3 linked regions of the Neodiprion lecontei genome follow. The protein of the gene in region 1 binds, or shares a complex with, the protein of each later gene. Links are inferred from orthologs where the notes say so. Each region holds a gene or a part of one and is shown in the gene's direction. Other genes may lie near its edges.

Region 1 (5,697 bases):
TTCATGGAAATGGCACCGAGAACAACCAAAATGAATACGATTCGCTGTACGCCTGTAACTCAGCGTGACGCCACCACGCCGACCATACAACTTACACTTTCATTGGCTCCATGGGAAGCGCGGTGAAATCCGCACGGCGTCGAACGAACGTTCGGGACAAGATGACAAGTTAGACTTTTCACAACCTATCGCAATACACATCCAAAGTCACATCGAGGAACAATCAACTTTCGTCATCGGGTAACGCCGTGTATAGATGTGTAAAATGAGGGTTCAGATCACGGTCTTACATGCAGGTCTGGAAATTCTGGTGGTGGGGGTGACTCACTTCTTGACAGTGCTTCTTGAGTTTCCTTTCAATAATTCTTAGATTGGCCGCAAGGGTCGCTGTAGCCTAGTAGGGTCACCCGTATCACCTGTGAGCGACAGAGATAGAAAAAATTTCTCTCTGTTGGCGCAAGCGCGCTACAGCCTAATAACGAAATTTGAGGTTCTGTAACTCAGCCCTACTAGATAGTAGCGACGCAGTGCCGAAACTGTAAACTACAAATTGATTCAATATCTGAGTCACTCCTAGCCTACCCCCTCCAATGGAGTTTCCAGACCTGTATGTAAGACCGTGGTTCAGGTCCCGACCAATCATGGCCGCGTATCAACAGACGGTCTGTAAGTTAATGCGGAAAACGGCACATGGAAACAAAGCCGTTGAAAGTCGTGTACTGTTAAATCAGTCAAATAAAATATCAAGTTCTTTCAAAGCCATTATAAAAACTAATTACGATTAATCTCCAATTCTATCCTTCTCGCTCATCAATTTCGCATAGCGCTCTCCTCCGTCCTCCCTATGATATTTCGATTTCACGTTTGCCACCTTTTTCTTGGATTTAAAGTCGGTCGAGGTTAGAATTGCAATTACTCAGTTTTCACTGGTTTTATCCGTTTTATCTCACTTCAAATGCGTATATTACGAGTTTACGGAATATGTATATAGTACGGAGGTTTATAGGTTGCGATCGGCGCCCTTCCTTTTTACATTTTACAGCGAAAATTTTATTCTTTCCATAAGAGGCGCTTGAATCGCATTAAGACAATTCTATTTACATTACTTCAAAACTGGGGACAAGTTTCATCGCATAGTGTTGCCTCCTTTCTACTACTCCGTGTTTCGATATTAGCTCCCAGTGCTATCATCAATCTTTCATCTTTGTTGCGCTGCCTAGTTTGTCGGTTAGTCTGGCTCTGTCCTAGGGAGTTTTTAGCACAGCTGGAGAATATCGGAACGCACTCATACTGATCTGGTATGAGGTGGTCTGAAGTTTCGGAACCCAACCCTATGGAGAAGTAGTAGTACTACGTGGTAACATGATTGATGCGTGTCGTGGTGTCGACCAGTGTCGACCAGCCTTGAAAATGGATTCGCATGAAGGCTTTTGGTAGATACGTCAACAGTAAATGGCTGATCATGCCAAGCGGTAAAATAAATTCTTGAATACATATTTATACTTGAAAAAATTATGTGGCATTTCAAGTGATAATGACATTGCTATTATAATGTAGAACACGAGGCGTGGGAATTTCGAAACTGCGGAAATACCTGTCGGTGACTGGCTTCAGTCAAGGAACTTACCTTTTCTTCAGATCGTCGATGACCCGGCGTTATCTTCGATATATTTTACCATCGAGGACGCGTCATGCCAACTACAGACAGTTTTTAACAACTTTCGCAGAAAATAAAAAGAGAAGGAAAAAATAGCAAAAAAAAAAAGCAACCTTCACATCATTCATGGCGGATGTGCCGCAGCGTGTACGTACAAAATACGAGAAAGTGTTCCGAACCAGTTCAGCATTGACCCTGAAAGAAATGTAACAAAAATCAGCCAGTCACACGATGCAGGAGGACTTTTTCCCCGCGGCTGAGAAAATACTTTCTGACATCGAGATTGTGTTGCAGAAGGATCCGAATCTGTGAGTTTTGGGACCAATATGGGCGGGGTTTTCGAATATTCTTACAGTCAGACAAACAGGATTTATTCGTTGTACAGAAAATCCGAGTTTTTTTTATGCATTTCATCCATATCATGCGGACTATATCTGTTTTTACGTGTACCCAGCACTATCGGTATGTCACTGTAAACGAGCTTGCACATATGTATGTACATAATTATGTAAATTTATACACCTACTATTGACAATACAAAGTTGCTTTTAGATTATTTTGTGTTAATCTTCGTCTATATCTCTTGCTGTATGCTTTTCAAATCTGGCACAGCTGAAGTGTCACATATTAGTATGCATTAATATCCAGGAATTGTTCAATCACCAAAAGTTTGAAATAGAATCCATCTCTACAGCCTCAAAACTCATATGATATTGCATGCAATTCATTTCAAGACTTCATTCCCCCATTATTTTGTTTTCTCTACTAAAATGCTTTGAGTTCAAAATTTAATCAATTAAAATTACGAGTTTGGAATAAAGTCATGATAATCTGTGCAAAAAGTTCTGTTACAAAAGTTCTACGATTTGCCAGTGAGTTTCCAAAATTTTATTCAGCAAGAAAAAATTTTCAACATTTAAGTCCACTTTTGGCTTCAGATCTATGTAAATGACCTGTGATAGACAAAATGCTTATTTCTTCTCTTCGACAAACATTGTGACATTTTTATTTGAAGAATGGACTGATAATGTAATCTTTCTAATGTTATTAACAAATGTACTTTTGTAATTTAGATTTGCAGATGTCAAATTTTTCCAATCTTCCTCAACAGATTTTTTAAATAAAATTCGAAATGATTAATTTTCGTTTTATTGTATCCTGATTTCATCACCTTTCCAGTTAGGTAAATTTTTACTAGATCATACCTTGAACTGATTTTATTTCACTCGATGCTAGAATTCGTAAATTTTACTGAGTGTCCCAGATAGACGGTCCAATTTCAAAATATGACATAAAAAATAGTATTATTTTCAAATAACCGGCAATTTAGAAAGTATATGCAAATTCGCAAATGCTGTTTATACGGCGCCCAGGCAATATCTTTGGAACACTTCTTGCAAATCATTCTTGAAATCCATATTTCGCAGTATGCAATATTGGAACATTCATTTTTATAATGCATTAGAAAATTCATGCCAATATTTGAAACCTGCTTATTTTTATTTACCGAAAAGTAAATATATCATCATTAATGTTTGGCAGGATCGGCTTCGAAATAATACCTGCGGTGGACAACGAGAACAAATCACCAGTGCTTCATGCTGATAATTCTCTAGGCCTAGCATCATGGAGTGTGAAACCGCTATACCGTTACACATACAATCGACTGCTCGAATTGCGTCAGAATCGCAATAAAAGGGAGGACCCGAGTACTATTTCCCGATGGCTACTAGGTGCATTGTTGTTGAATCCTGACGTAACAACGTTTTGGAACATGCGGCGAGAACTTGTGAGGAATGGAAGACTTGAGTGGAAAGGTGAACTACACTTCGTTGCGGTTGTTCTGTACTACAAAGCAAAATGCTTCGAAGCGTTCGCTTACAGGCGTTGGCTTCTCCAATTCGCGTTTAGTAGTGCTAACACACTTGAAACGTTGGATGTTGAAAGACTGCTGAAAAACGAAGTGGACATTTCCTCGATGTCCGCTGATAGATACGCAAACAACTATCACGCCTGGAATCATCGCGAGTACATTGTTACCACCTTCGCCATATATTCTCCATGTACTTTTGCCTCATTTTTAGAGTCAGAATGGCTGACTTCGGGAAAATGGTGCAGTCTCCACATATCCGACTACAGCGGGTTTGCTTATCGACAATTTTTGATGAAGAGGCTTCTCCAGGCTGATGACGAATTCACTCATATAACCAGGCAAGAAATGAAATTCAGGGAAACCATCGCCAAATTTGTTAAACTTGAAGATACCGCTCATATTTTGACTGCTCCATGTTATCAAGTTTTAAACTATTTGCACGCCACCCCTGGTCACCAAAATCGCCACAACACTGACTATCTTTCTATCCTCACCGGTCTCTCATATTGGGCTGAAGAATGTATGTTTAACGAAGAATTGCTCAATCTCTATCCAGGTCACGAGTCTTTTTGGTATCACAGAAGGTTTCTTTCTCACCTCTTGGTTGTCATGAGCAAGTCATACGAGAGATATTCTTATTATAAAACAGAACTGATCGATAAAAATTTACACCGACTTTTGGGCGGTGAAGGAGACGGATCTGAAACTCTGGAATTTCACCGCAGAGCACAGAGTCCGTTGGAATCCGCGTACCGGAAGCGGAATTCGGATGTAATTGCGAGAGCTAGAGAAGTCGGCGGTCACCAAAACATCATGGGCGAAAGATTTGCTAGGTTTTTAACGAGCTCTGGTTTAGAATTGTGAATTTTTAAGCTGTTTCGATTTTTCTAGGAAAATGATACTTATTGAACCTACAGTACTGGTGTACCCTTATTGTATGTTTATGTATTTGGTGTGTAACAGGCCTATGTGATTAATCGATTTATTGTAAAACCGATTAATTGATGACACGTAAAAAAGATCAAGTAAAGCGCCGGAAATTGATTGGAAAACGTATAAATCGATTTTTTTAAAAAGAAATTTTTATTCCAAGTCTACGATTAATTGATTAAACGCACAGCCTTGGTGTGTAAGCTATCCCCGTCTAAGTAAGATTGCGTTAATGGGGTAGTGGGTCAGCTGTTTTCATTGCATCTTATACCTATCGGTAGGTATGTTCAACTTCCATGAAAAGGTGTAGAGAAACGGTCGTTTAATCATATAACGTTATTTGATTATCGTGTAATAAAGGAAATTACAATTTTTGTTAAACATGTATGTACGTATCTAATTACCTTCGCTGAATGTGAACGAATGTTACTGTTGTGCGTATATTTAAATTGTTTCAAGTTTACCAAAGTTACCTGGCCAAGGTGGTTGTCTAAGGGATGAGCTGATTTTATGACTGGCATATTGATAAGTTCCCTAATCACGGTTTATAGATAGTATAGAGGGTAGTCTTTATTAGAGTTGTATATTTTAAATAAACTGTAAAAATTTATATGCATATTAATTGGATACTTCCATTATTGACATGTATAAATCTCACGCGCCCATTTTGATTATTATAGTGAAAAAAATATCTGATCAAATAATTATGCATACAATACAGAGACCCAAAAACCATTTATGAGAACATAGTTGTGAGTATTATATTAACTATGACAATAATTTGTTTATTAGTTAAAAATATGTGTCTTACGAATTTATATACGAATTCTGGGGATTCGCATTTGAAATAAGTGGATAATTTGGCCGATCTTTTTTGGGCCTAAGAACGCGGCTTAAGAACTTCTCGCTAGGGTGCGTTTCGAGTCCATAGAACATTAACGGGTGGGATACAATTTTTTTTTTACTCTTATATTATAATTCGAGAACTATATCACCTATGAAATACAAAATTTGTTCAATCTTGAGTCAAGATATGCCCCGTCAATTGAAACCAAATCATCCTAATTCCTTTATTCGTTCTCCAGATACCGTCGGACAAAGTATTGATCACACACACACAACTAGCGTCCATTCGAAAATCCATTGTATGTATTAACTTCCCTGAATCTTTCTTTCCTGCGAAAAAACGAAGCGGGAAGATAAAAAAAAAATAGGACATTACTTTTGAACCCGCCTA
Region 2 (5,421 bases), on another chromosome or scaffold:
CCAGGACATCAGCTGGGTGTCCCAACGCACTGGTGTCTGCCTGAGCACCACTTCCAACTGCCCCAGAAGCAGCAGTTGAAGTAACGGATCCACCTAAGAAATTCATTTATTTAAATTTTGTGTTTCAATGAGAAAAACTTCACAAATCACTAATCTTCAATTACAATAAGGTATTTGAAAAAAAGTATAATCTTGATTTTCATTCAACAGGAAGGATCAAAATCTGAATATCAAAAGATATTTAAACTAGTTGTTACACAATACTACAGGAGTAAACATAGGCATTGATAGAAAAAACATTAGTCACACCTTTTTTCTGCTTTTTGCGCGCAATCTTTGATTCGTCTTCGCTACTAGCTCCAGCACTTCCTTTCTTTCGTTTTTCTTTCTCTTTGAGTTTCTTCCTGCCTTTTTTACTAACAGCACTATCTTCCTGGACTCTATTTGTATTCAATGCCTTGTCTTGAATTTCTGCTTCAAATCTAGCAAGGTCTGAATCGAGTCTTCTAATGTGTTTGTCAACCAGCTCGTAGGTCTGTATAGCCAATTGAACCTTATCGTCCCCATATTCTTTAGCTTTGTTGAAAAGACTTTGGATGTGATTTAACTGTTCTTTTTTCTTATCCGCCGAAAGCGTTTTCACATTTCTCAAATATTCATCAGCCAGCTTGTCTAGATCTTTCATCAGCCCCTGCGCACGTGCATCCAGATCACGCATCAATGTGAAATTTCGTTGTAGTTCAATCGGTAGATTATCTAAACCTGAAAAGTGTTGGAAAATGACTGAATTTCAAACTGGTAAGGTTTTCCCGCAATTTCTAATGAAATGTTAATATTTTACAACATGATAGTTTTCATTTGCAGAGGAATAAAGAAATTTCCCGCTTGAAAAAATTCAATTTTTTCATCAGAAGTTATGGTTATGTGAGATGCAACTATTTAGGAAAACTACGAGTTTTTATTGGTGTAAGCACTTAGAATATACTTCACGTAACTTTCACATAACAAAAAAGATAATAACGTTATATTTTGGCACAGATGTCCTAGCATCTCACATAAATATCTCTTCTGAACATCAATTTGTTTCCTGAAAAATATTAACTTCAACACCGACTCATTGACATCCCATGTTGGTTAGCTTATTGATAGGTTAAGTTCATTGACGGTAGGCTAAAGAATGTAACTGATTAATGAAGTAAACTTCAAGGGACCTCATATTGAGAGGTCTAGTTTGATTCTACCTGACCGTGGTTACAACAAGCGATATTCTTCTTGTTAAACAACCATAAATAAAAGTTTACTTACTGTCCAGGTAATGTTCCAAGTACAATGCGGACGTCATTTCGCAGGGTAGACACCGCGGTAGAAACCCCGGGCTTGCGTTTTTTTTTTTTAATTACTCGAAGTTTGCTTGTGCAGGGTATAGTGGAACCGATTATTATACCACACACTGTTATTATTGACTTCACATCACTAGTAATAAAGTTGAAATCGTTACACCTACTCCATTCTCTCACTTTTGTATATGGGTGGAAATTGAATTCCTTCTAATTGGCACATACGTACACAAAACTGACCAGTGTCACTGTGTGTGCATAATTCAGTCGGCCGATTTTATTCACACTTTATTCGGACAAGCCTGCGGGGGAGTTTACACAACACAGCGGAGGTGGCGACACACTCTGAGTCATTCGCACGTTACGACTAACTATATGGATAACATATGTATGCACAGTGTGCATCGGTTACCGCTGAATTGCTGAATTGTGACGGTGTGGAAGAAAAGTGGGCATCCTTATCATGTAAAATAATTTCAATTAAATCTTATTGATTAAAATTACTTCTCCAAACGGAATACAACTCGAGATCGTCACTTCATCATAGTGAAAATTTGAATGATTTGAACTTGATTTGAACGATCTTAAAACAAACGTCGTGTCGCCGACCTCCGTCTGCAATCCCCCCTACAATCCCCTTCCCAAGCCCTGCGACGGACATACCCGTGTTACGTGTATGCGTGTCGTCGGACGTCGCCCGCCGTCTGCGACGCGCAGTTCTAGTGGGTGATGTGTCAGTGCTGTTAGTAGTCGCAGCAAGCTTGTAAGTGGTAAGGTACGCGATTTGACATTTGCCTTTAACCGAGGAGGGCGGAGCCAAAAACAACAATTTTAGTTCATTTTTCCGCGGATCTACCCTCTGAATCAGGATTTCATTAACGGAGGTAAAAAGCAGAAAATTCTCTCAAATATTGTGTGACACAATTCCGACTGCCCTTATCTTAATTTCACTTCATATCACTTTGTTTTACTTTCACATAGTATCGCGCTGAATGAGTCCAATTTTTTGATATTCTTGTAGGAAAGAAAAATCAAATAATGATCATTGCCACACTGGCAGTGCGACTGACAACAAGATTCTACCGGCGGTGAGAGTTGAAAACTAGGTAACGAAAGGAGGTCAAGTTCTAGTTGGAGCCGAAATTTTCCTAGGCTTACGTCGGTTGTATCTTCTTAGTCTTCTTTCCTGAACTCCCGGCTAGCCGAGTTCACTAGGTAAGCAATTATCTACATCAAATGTTAATGTGTACGATATGTGAAAAACGATAATCTTTTAGAAAAAAACTGCAATGCAAATAGCTTGTTTTTGTTACAGTCGAAAATGGTCAAATTGTACGCTTTAACCATCCTATACAAAGGCCCAACTACAGCAACAACGATCAAATCAGCTTATGAACTTGGATCTTTTTCGTTTTTTCAACGCAGTAGTGCTCAGGAATTTATGGCATTTGTCAGTAAAACGATTACTGAAAGAACTCAAATTGCAGCCAGACAAAGCGTCAAGGAAAAAGGTATTTATTTTCCAGTCTCTGTACTTTATAAAATATCATTTCATCGTGATCTGCAACTATTATGAATGACATTGGTTTCGGTGTAGAAACTACTTTTAAAAACAAACCATTGCTTGCTTAATATTAACAACATTTCTAAAGACCTTGAAACAGCCGTTTCATTTCAGTTAATTTTTGCTCCGTGCGTGCTTATTGTCTGTTTTTTTTCTATATTATCTATTTTCAGGTTGCTACCGATTGTCTCACTAAGTTCACATATTTTCTCTGTTCTTTCAGAGTATATGTGTCACGTTTATGTGAGAGCGGATAATTTAGCTGGCGTTCTAATCTCCGATCATGAGTATCCTAGCAGAGTTTCGCACACGTTGATCACAAAAGTACTAGATGAATTTGCTGCCCAGTACCCACCCAGTACATGTGCCACTTTAAATGAAGCGACAACAATATTTCCACAAGTGAATACGTACTTGGCGAAATATCAAAATCCCCGGGAAGCAGATGCATTTACAAAAATGCAGAATGACCTTGATGAAACCAAGATCATTTTGGTGAGTTTGAAGATTTTCTTAAACTGAGTTTCTTAGTTATCCAGTTTCAGCTCGTCGGTTTGGTCGTTTATGAAATATAATTGGACAAATGAGTTTGAAATTCGTAACATTAGTACTCTTACAAATCATTTATAAAAAATCTCTGTTTTTTAACTTTAGAATGACTTTGAAGAAGACGAATTTGCCAAAAAATAATGTTTTTTATTTTATTATTGTTACTTACTAAATTTCAGAGAATTTTCAAGTCGCATCATTGCATTAATATTAAAAAATACATGTTCCAAACAAAGTAGTGTCATTATCTATTTTTCTTTCCAATCCTAGAGGTTTTTCTTATGTACTGCACTCTCTGTCTAGCAAGCAATGCTTCCAATTCATTTTCTGAGATGTAAACAGTGGCATTCATTTATGTGCTGTTGTTAGTTTTCAGATAGTTATTGTGTATTGAAAGATTATGTAACTGATGCAGATAAGATACTATAAAGAATCACAAGTGTCTATTTCTATGAATACAGTAATTCATTTTTCTTACAGCATAATACAATAGAAGCAGTTTTAGAAAGGGGCGAAAAATTGGACGATTTGGTGTCAAAATCAGAAGGCCTTAGCATGCAGTCAAAAGCATTTTACAAAACAGCACGGAAAACCAATTCCTGTTGCAGCTTGACGGCTTAAACACGGTATACCATGATTCCATTGTGTTCATATTATTGTGTTACAAATGTGAAGATAGGTTTGTCAAGAAAAGAATGTTGAGTAATGTTTGAAATTTGAAAGCTAATTGATAACTTTTGCCTGCCGCAACAGTTTATTGTTCAGATGATTTTGCCTCCTCGGTATAATTAATTACCTGTGAATGTACAATTTTTTAATTTTTGAATGGATTTTACCTCCGATTGCAAAAGGTGGTTTGTCTTACCAATAGATTTCACTTGTATATTTTCTATTGAGCAAGATTGATTTAAATATTGCGCAGCCGAAGGTATGGATGTTTTTAAAGAGGCCTAAGTAAGTAATGTTATCCTTAATATATGTTAATGAACAATATGCTTTAATGCAACATATTATCCATCAATGTTGAAATACGAGTGACTGAATTTTATGTGTCTTGATTGCAAAGGGATAATTTTTCAAGACGTCATCAGATTGTATTCGAGAGTAATCAGTGTTGTCTAGCATCATAAAGAATGTCACAGAGTTCAGTATTCAACTCAAGTTACTTCAGTTTAATCAAAAAGTGGGGTTAATTTTAATTGGATTGTATACATACAGACTTTAATATCCTTTCCTTTTAAGACACATAAACAGAAATTTCACAAAATCTATGTAACCCAATGTCTATTAAACGTCTTCTTTGTCGTTGATATGTTATTCTTATTGCAAATGGAATGTAACTTGTTATTCCGTTATGCAGTTTCGGCATTGGATAAGAGTTCAATTATGGATGAAACAAAAAAATATGTGTACGTATTTATGTATTTAAAAAGTATTTCAATATATCATGTCTAAATTTAAAAAATACCACTCCAATTTTTTCCTCTAAACGTGATGTTTATCTACTCTCAGTGCCAAGGAACGTGAAATGTAAGTAATTGACCATAAGTATGAATTACATAGAATGTTATTTATTGTAATTTGTCGGTTTGTACAAGTCTACCAGGACAACTTCAATTCGGTGCACTACAATGTAATCACTTCTGCCGATTTGTGAATTTTTTCTTATGTTTTTAGCAGCACCTAGTTTACGAAAAAAACGGCATTCTGTATTCCCGAATAGTAGGGCGCCCTTTCCACAGTAATCCCGTATCTCCCATATCTTTATTGAAGCCTTTCATATACTTGTTACCAGGTGCCTAGTTACAAAAACAAAGATATAAACATATGTAAGAAAATATTTTCGAAAAATGTAGTGACATTTTTACAGAAGTTACTTTTTTTTAATCAATAACTAATCGGTTGAATCTGTAGATCAGACTGAAATACTTACATTTTCCCAAACCTTTTGATATGCGAGATGATCAGCTC
Region 3 (4,190 bases), on another chromosome or scaffold:
CGCCACCCTGCTCTGCATAAGAAGAAGAAACGTGTGCGCGAACATCTTTTTTCAATCGCGTATAAATAAATGCAGTCACCCTTTATCCGTAATTAAAACAACCATTATTCGTCCACAATTAAAGCAATCATCTTTCATTGATAGTTAATAGTCAGCAGGTTAAATGGACTAAAAATCTTCGAACAAACTGCGTATATATATGAGCAGAAATTAATTAGTAAAAGCTGTTTACCGAAATCGAAATGCGAGATAAAATCATCTGTATATTTCCAACGAACGTATAATAAATCCTGCAACTCTTCTTTGTCGAATAGGGCCACTAGGGATACCAAGCTAAGAGAAAAAAAAAAACAAAAACGCGTCGATTGCTCTACCGTTTACGGAGGTGTGGAAACTAGCAAATGTGATTCAATCTATTTCAATAAACGTATTTTCATAATGATTATTTGTGTTTATTCTCTTATAGAATGTACTAATTTGTGGAATTGTTAGAATCAGTTGTACGTATATTTGACCAACTTACGAATTTTTTTTGGATAATTTTTTTCTATACGTGTGTGTACGCATATGACTAATAACAATGCGACTCATAGTTAGTGACTCCCCATGTCACACGAATGTAATACTTTTGTTTTTATCCTGGCACAAATAATCGTCAATCTATTGCCGAAAAAATTTATCTAGTTCGCTTCAGATGAAGGGCCGACAATAAATAAATACGAACGGAGTCAGAAAATTCATTGCAAAATCAAAGAAGTTAGATAATTCAGGGTGAATATTTGTTTAAAGCTAGAAACAGATTCTCATTTTCATTGGTCATCATGCATACAGAATAGTGATGAATTTGAACTTTCCCAGTTTAGTCAGAGAGAATCCAAGTTGATCATTATTCACACCCATCGATCATTATTTACAATGACAATAATGAATTTCAATTTCTGTGAAAATCTCCTGTGTTGATGGGAATTGAAGTCTCGTTTTCGTTTATTCGTAACTTTAAAAATCGACAAAAGTTATTTCCGTCGGTCAATGATACGCCTGAAACATGGGCGACGGCATCTCGCAAACATGAGCTTTTGTATCAGCCATGCGCAGATGGGTTCTTTCTTCCAGTCGAGTGATCGAATAATTTCCATACTGTTTATTTAGAAGAATTGATGTTTTTCCTAACATTCGTGTGAGTTATTTCATTATTTTTATCAAAGAGAATTTCTTGTTTCTGTAAAACCATTGTGCGAATCATGCACGACAATTTAGTGAGTCTTAAACTCACATATTTGCATGAAAAAATTAACACTTCTGAAAATTTAGTATCACCTATTAAATATAACTGTCTAATAGGGAATACAATTTGTTAGCTCAGTTTCATACAATTCTTAAAATTGGTGACTCTAAAATTTCATTGAAATGTTTCTTTATCTTTTTTTCAATATCGCTATCTTTCAATATTTATTGCCATATTTTTATCTCACGTCTTCAACATATTTTGGTCCAGAGAAATGTTTTAAGGGTTAATTTTAAACCTGTACAGTGAGAATAATTTTTCTTGTCGGTTAGTATGGAATGCGACATTGTCATACATGAAGCACTCTGCATTATCTGCTGATTTCAAGATTGTAAATTCCAGTCGGTTACTGAGAGGCCTGTAGTATCAGTTAAAAATTGGTTGAAACGAACAACTTGTTTCTTGTCAGAGGGTGGCTGCTCATAGGGAAGGAAGAGTCTATGGGGAGTCTGTGTTGTCTGTTGTTTCGACGATTTTGGAAACGTCAGATTACAGCTGAAGCGACATAAGTGATACTTATTTTCTGTGTAATAAATATGGATAAGTCGATGACTTATTAATTTTACTGCCTATCGAATGGAATTCGGCGCTCAGAATGGTGAGGAAAATCCTTAAGATATAATCAATTCTTTGAATCTGACCTGATCTAATCTAACCCTATTTAACCTAAAAATTTTTCAGTCGAAGCTGATGAAAGACGTCGTATTACCACCAAAAATTCCAAAATTACTTATAGAGAAACACGGAAATTATTTAGCCTCCTATGGTAACAACAAAGACGATTATGTAAGTGCCTAGGAAATTGTATTTATTATAAAAAAGTGATTAACCCAACCATGACGATTGTTTATTCCAACTGAAATACCTTTGGATATTTGATTCGAGTTAATTAGCGCAAATGGGATTAAATTTGATCAACAATCTGACCGATGTTAAAAATTCTTCTATTCAGGAATTCTGTATGACCGAGTACCTCAGGATGTCTGGAATGTTTTGGGGTCTAACGGCAATGGATTTGATGGGTCAATTGGACAGAATGGACAAGCAGGAGGTTTTGGAATTTGTAGCAAAGTGCCAGCACGACTGTGGTGGAATCAGTGCCAGCATTGACCACGATCCCCACTTACTTTACACCCTGAGCGCCGTGCAGATATTGTGCATGTACGATGCTCTGGATGTTATAGATGTTGAAAAAGTCGTCGAATACGTGCAAAAAAGGCAGATGCCTGATGGAAGTTTCACAGGGGATATCTGGGGCGAATTGGATAACAGATTTTCATTCTGCGCAGTCGCCACTCTTTCGTTACTGGTGAGATGTCTAAAATTGAGCATCTCGCAAGACCAGAAAGACTTTCTATTTATGTGATTGCAAATCCAAATACTCACTTCGTGTTTCTTCCTTCATCAGGGTAGACTGGATGCGATAAACGTTGACAAAGCTGTTGAGTATGTCTTGAGCTGCATGAATTTCGACGGTGGTTTTGGTTCAAAACCAGGCTCTGAGAGTCACGCTGGTTTGATTTACTGTTGCGTTGCGTTCTTGTCAATAACCGGTACGCGTTGTGCGACTTTTTATTCTTTTTAACTTGAGGTAATATGCTTGTTATTAATCAAGATCCTTTCACCTCAAAGGACACCTTCACGAAATTGATGCTGACCAGCTGGGCTGGTGGCTATGCGAAAGGCAGCTACCATCCGGCGGGCTCAACGGGAGACCTGAAAAATTACCCGACGTTTGTTATTCATGGTGGGTTTTGTCCTCGCTAACTATTTTGGGTCGTCTTCATTGGATAGACAAAAATGAGCTGGTAACACGCGTTTATTTGGCTTTTTAGTTCCTTGTTGTGTTGTTCGAGTTTAACGCTACTGATTTTTCGTCCCAGATAAATTTCGTCTTGGCGTGTCAGGATCCTGAAACGGGTGGGTTCAGCGATCGCCCTGGAGACATGGTTGACCCTTTCCACACGCTGTTCGGTCTGACGGCCATTTCGCTCTTGGACGCGGACTCTTCGTTGAAACCTGTAAATCCGACGTACTGTATGCCGCAGTACGTGATCGACCGAATCGGTCTTAAGCCCTCACGGGTGGATTAATATTTGCAACAATTAGGTGAACAAAAAGACATTCACGCGACTAATAAGAAAGAAAGAGAGGGAGAAAAAGCGAGAGAGAGAGAGAGAGAAAAGTATACGAACAACAGAATTGTCAATTCTTGTATGCCGTTTCTGTAATATATTTAAATCTTTATCAAACATTCCTCTGCGAATTGCTGTATCAAATTTTATTCATTCGTTTCTCGCAAGTCGGTTGTGTAGATGAACCTGTAATAAACTTCTACCTTTATGATTATTCGGTTAATGCACGTCCAAATAATATAGACTTAAACGTGTTTATAGATTAACCATGAAAAACTGCGATGAATCATACAATTTATTACACTTAATCGCATTTACTCGAGACCAAACACCTGTTGATATTCCCTTGTTCGTTTTTGTAATTCGACATTACGCACGCATTCATTTATTACGGATGTAGCACGACTATAGACAATCGAATGATCGGCAGTTAATGTACATGTAAGTTCGATTTTCAGAAATGTGTTCGAGATTGTTACTTTAGTTTCAAATTCTTGGGTAATTTGACTACAGGCCAAAATCGTGTCCAGCATTATTGAATAATGATTGTACAATCCATCAAACCTTGTCCATTAAGGTGACGTGTTATTGACAGTGATAATTGATGGAGAACATTAGCAGTTGTAACGCCGTATGTTGGTCACTTTTCTCAACCTTTTATTATTACTAAAGTCAGTCTTTGAACTAGAAATCAAGAATTACGGTACCAGTATTTTTCGGCAGTATGCATCGTAACCAATCTCTTCTTATAATTGTTACCCTAGTTTTTT

Evidence for each region.
Region 2: the proteins of protein prenyltransferase alpha subunit repeat-containing protein 1 (region 1) and synaptobrevin homolog YKT6 are in contact, whole or in part, in a crystal structure (PDB 6J7F), measured with the Homo sapiens proteins. The link is inferred for Neodiprion lecontei from reciprocal best matches to the Homo sapiens genes PTAR1 and YKT6. Residues at the interface, in NP_001093136.1 of Homo sapiens: Glu31, Gly33, Leu34, Ile35, Pro36, Val48, Val50, Glu51, Lys53, Leu54, Gly55, Ser58, Lys135, Tyr191, His225, Ser228, Met229, His230, Val231, Ser232, Asp233, Phe298, Asp301, Leu302, Ser305, Tyr306, His309; in NP_006546.1 of Homo sapiens: Met1, Ser29, Phe30, Phe31, Asn83, Glu84, Pro86, Gln131, Asn132, Pro133, Arg134, Gln180, Phe184, Arg189, Ser193.
Region 3: the proteins of protein prenyltransferase alpha subunit repeat-containing protein 1 (region 1) and geranylgeranyl transferase type-2 subunit beta are in contact, whole or in part, in a crystal structure (PDB 6O60), measured with the Homo sapiens proteins. The link is inferred for Neodiprion lecontei from reciprocal best matches to the Homo sapiens genes PTAR1 and RABGGTB. Residues at the interface, in NP_001093136.1 of Homo sapiens: Val61, Lys62, Leu65, Pro66, His69, Leu73, Arg76, Leu97, Asn98, Asp100, Phe101, Thr102, Thr103, Asn106, Lys109, Glu110, Leu113, Ile141, Arg144, Trp145, Pro192, Ser193, Tyr195, Ser199, Ile202, Trp203, Gln206, Val231, Ser232, His234; in NP_004573.2 of Homo sapiens: Lys6, Asp36, Tyr37, Cys40, Met41, Glu43, Tyr44, Ile89, Gly90, His91, Asp92, Asp136, Trp138, Glu140, Phe177, Asp178, Gly182, Cys183, Arg184, Pro185, Gly186, Ser187, Glu188, Ser189, His190, Gln193, Trp217, Glu221, Arg222, Pro225.

Annotation. Positions count from the first base shown.
Region 1 is NC_060262.1:18,725,930-18,731,626, reverse strand, and holds protein prenyltransferase alpha subunit repeat-containing protein 1, read left to right. Parts: upstream 1-1,998; 5' UTR 1,999-2,060; coding exon 2,061-2,149; intron 2,150-3,199; coding exon 3,200-4,394; 3' UTR 4,395-5,076; downstream 5,077-5,697.
Region 2 is NC_060263.1:35,806,990-35,812,410, reverse strand, and holds synaptobrevin homolog YKT6, read left to right. Parts: upstream 1-1,785; 5' UTR 1,786-2,221; intron 2,222-2,358; 5' UTR 2,359-2,552; intron 2,553-2,636; 5' UTR 2,637-2,658; coding exon 2,659-2,848; intron 2,849-3,124; coding exon 3,125-3,396; intron 3,397-3,930; coding exon 3,931-4,071; 3' UTR 4,072-4,865; downstream 4,866-5,421. Other genes in the region: inhibitor of growth protein 5, read right to left, coding at 1-93, 310-762, 1,306-1,342; NADH dehydrogenase [ubiquinone] 1 alpha subcomplex subunit 10, mitochondrial, read right to left, coding at 5,139-5,249, 5,384-5,421. UniProt on the Homo sapiens protein: Vesicular soluble NSF attachment protein receptor (v-SNARE) mediating vesicle docking and fusion to a specific acceptor cellular compartment. Functions in endoplasmic reticulum to Golgi transport; as part of a SNARE complex composed of GOSR1, GOSR2 and STX5.
Region 3 is NC_060266.1:23,069,377-23,073,566, reverse strand, and holds geranylgeranyl transferase type-2 subunit beta, read left to right. Parts: upstream 1-1,718; 5' UTR 1,719-1,880; coding exon 1,881-1,883; intron 1,884-1,966; coding exon 1,967-2,071; intron 2,072-2,237; coding exon 2,238-2,594; intron 2,595-2,693; coding exon 2,694-2,838; intron 2,839-2,917; coding exon 2,918-3,093; intron 3,094-3,168; coding exon 3,169-3,378; 3' UTR 3,379-3,634; downstream 3,635-4,190. Other genes in the region: uncharacterized protein LOC124295337, read left to right, coding at 4,145-4,190. UniProt on the Homo sapiens protein: Catalyzes the transfer of a geranylgeranyl moiety from geranylgeranyl diphosphate to both cysteines of Rab proteins with the C-terminal sequence -XXCC, -XCXC and -CCXX, such as RAB1A, RAB3A, RAB5A and RAB7A.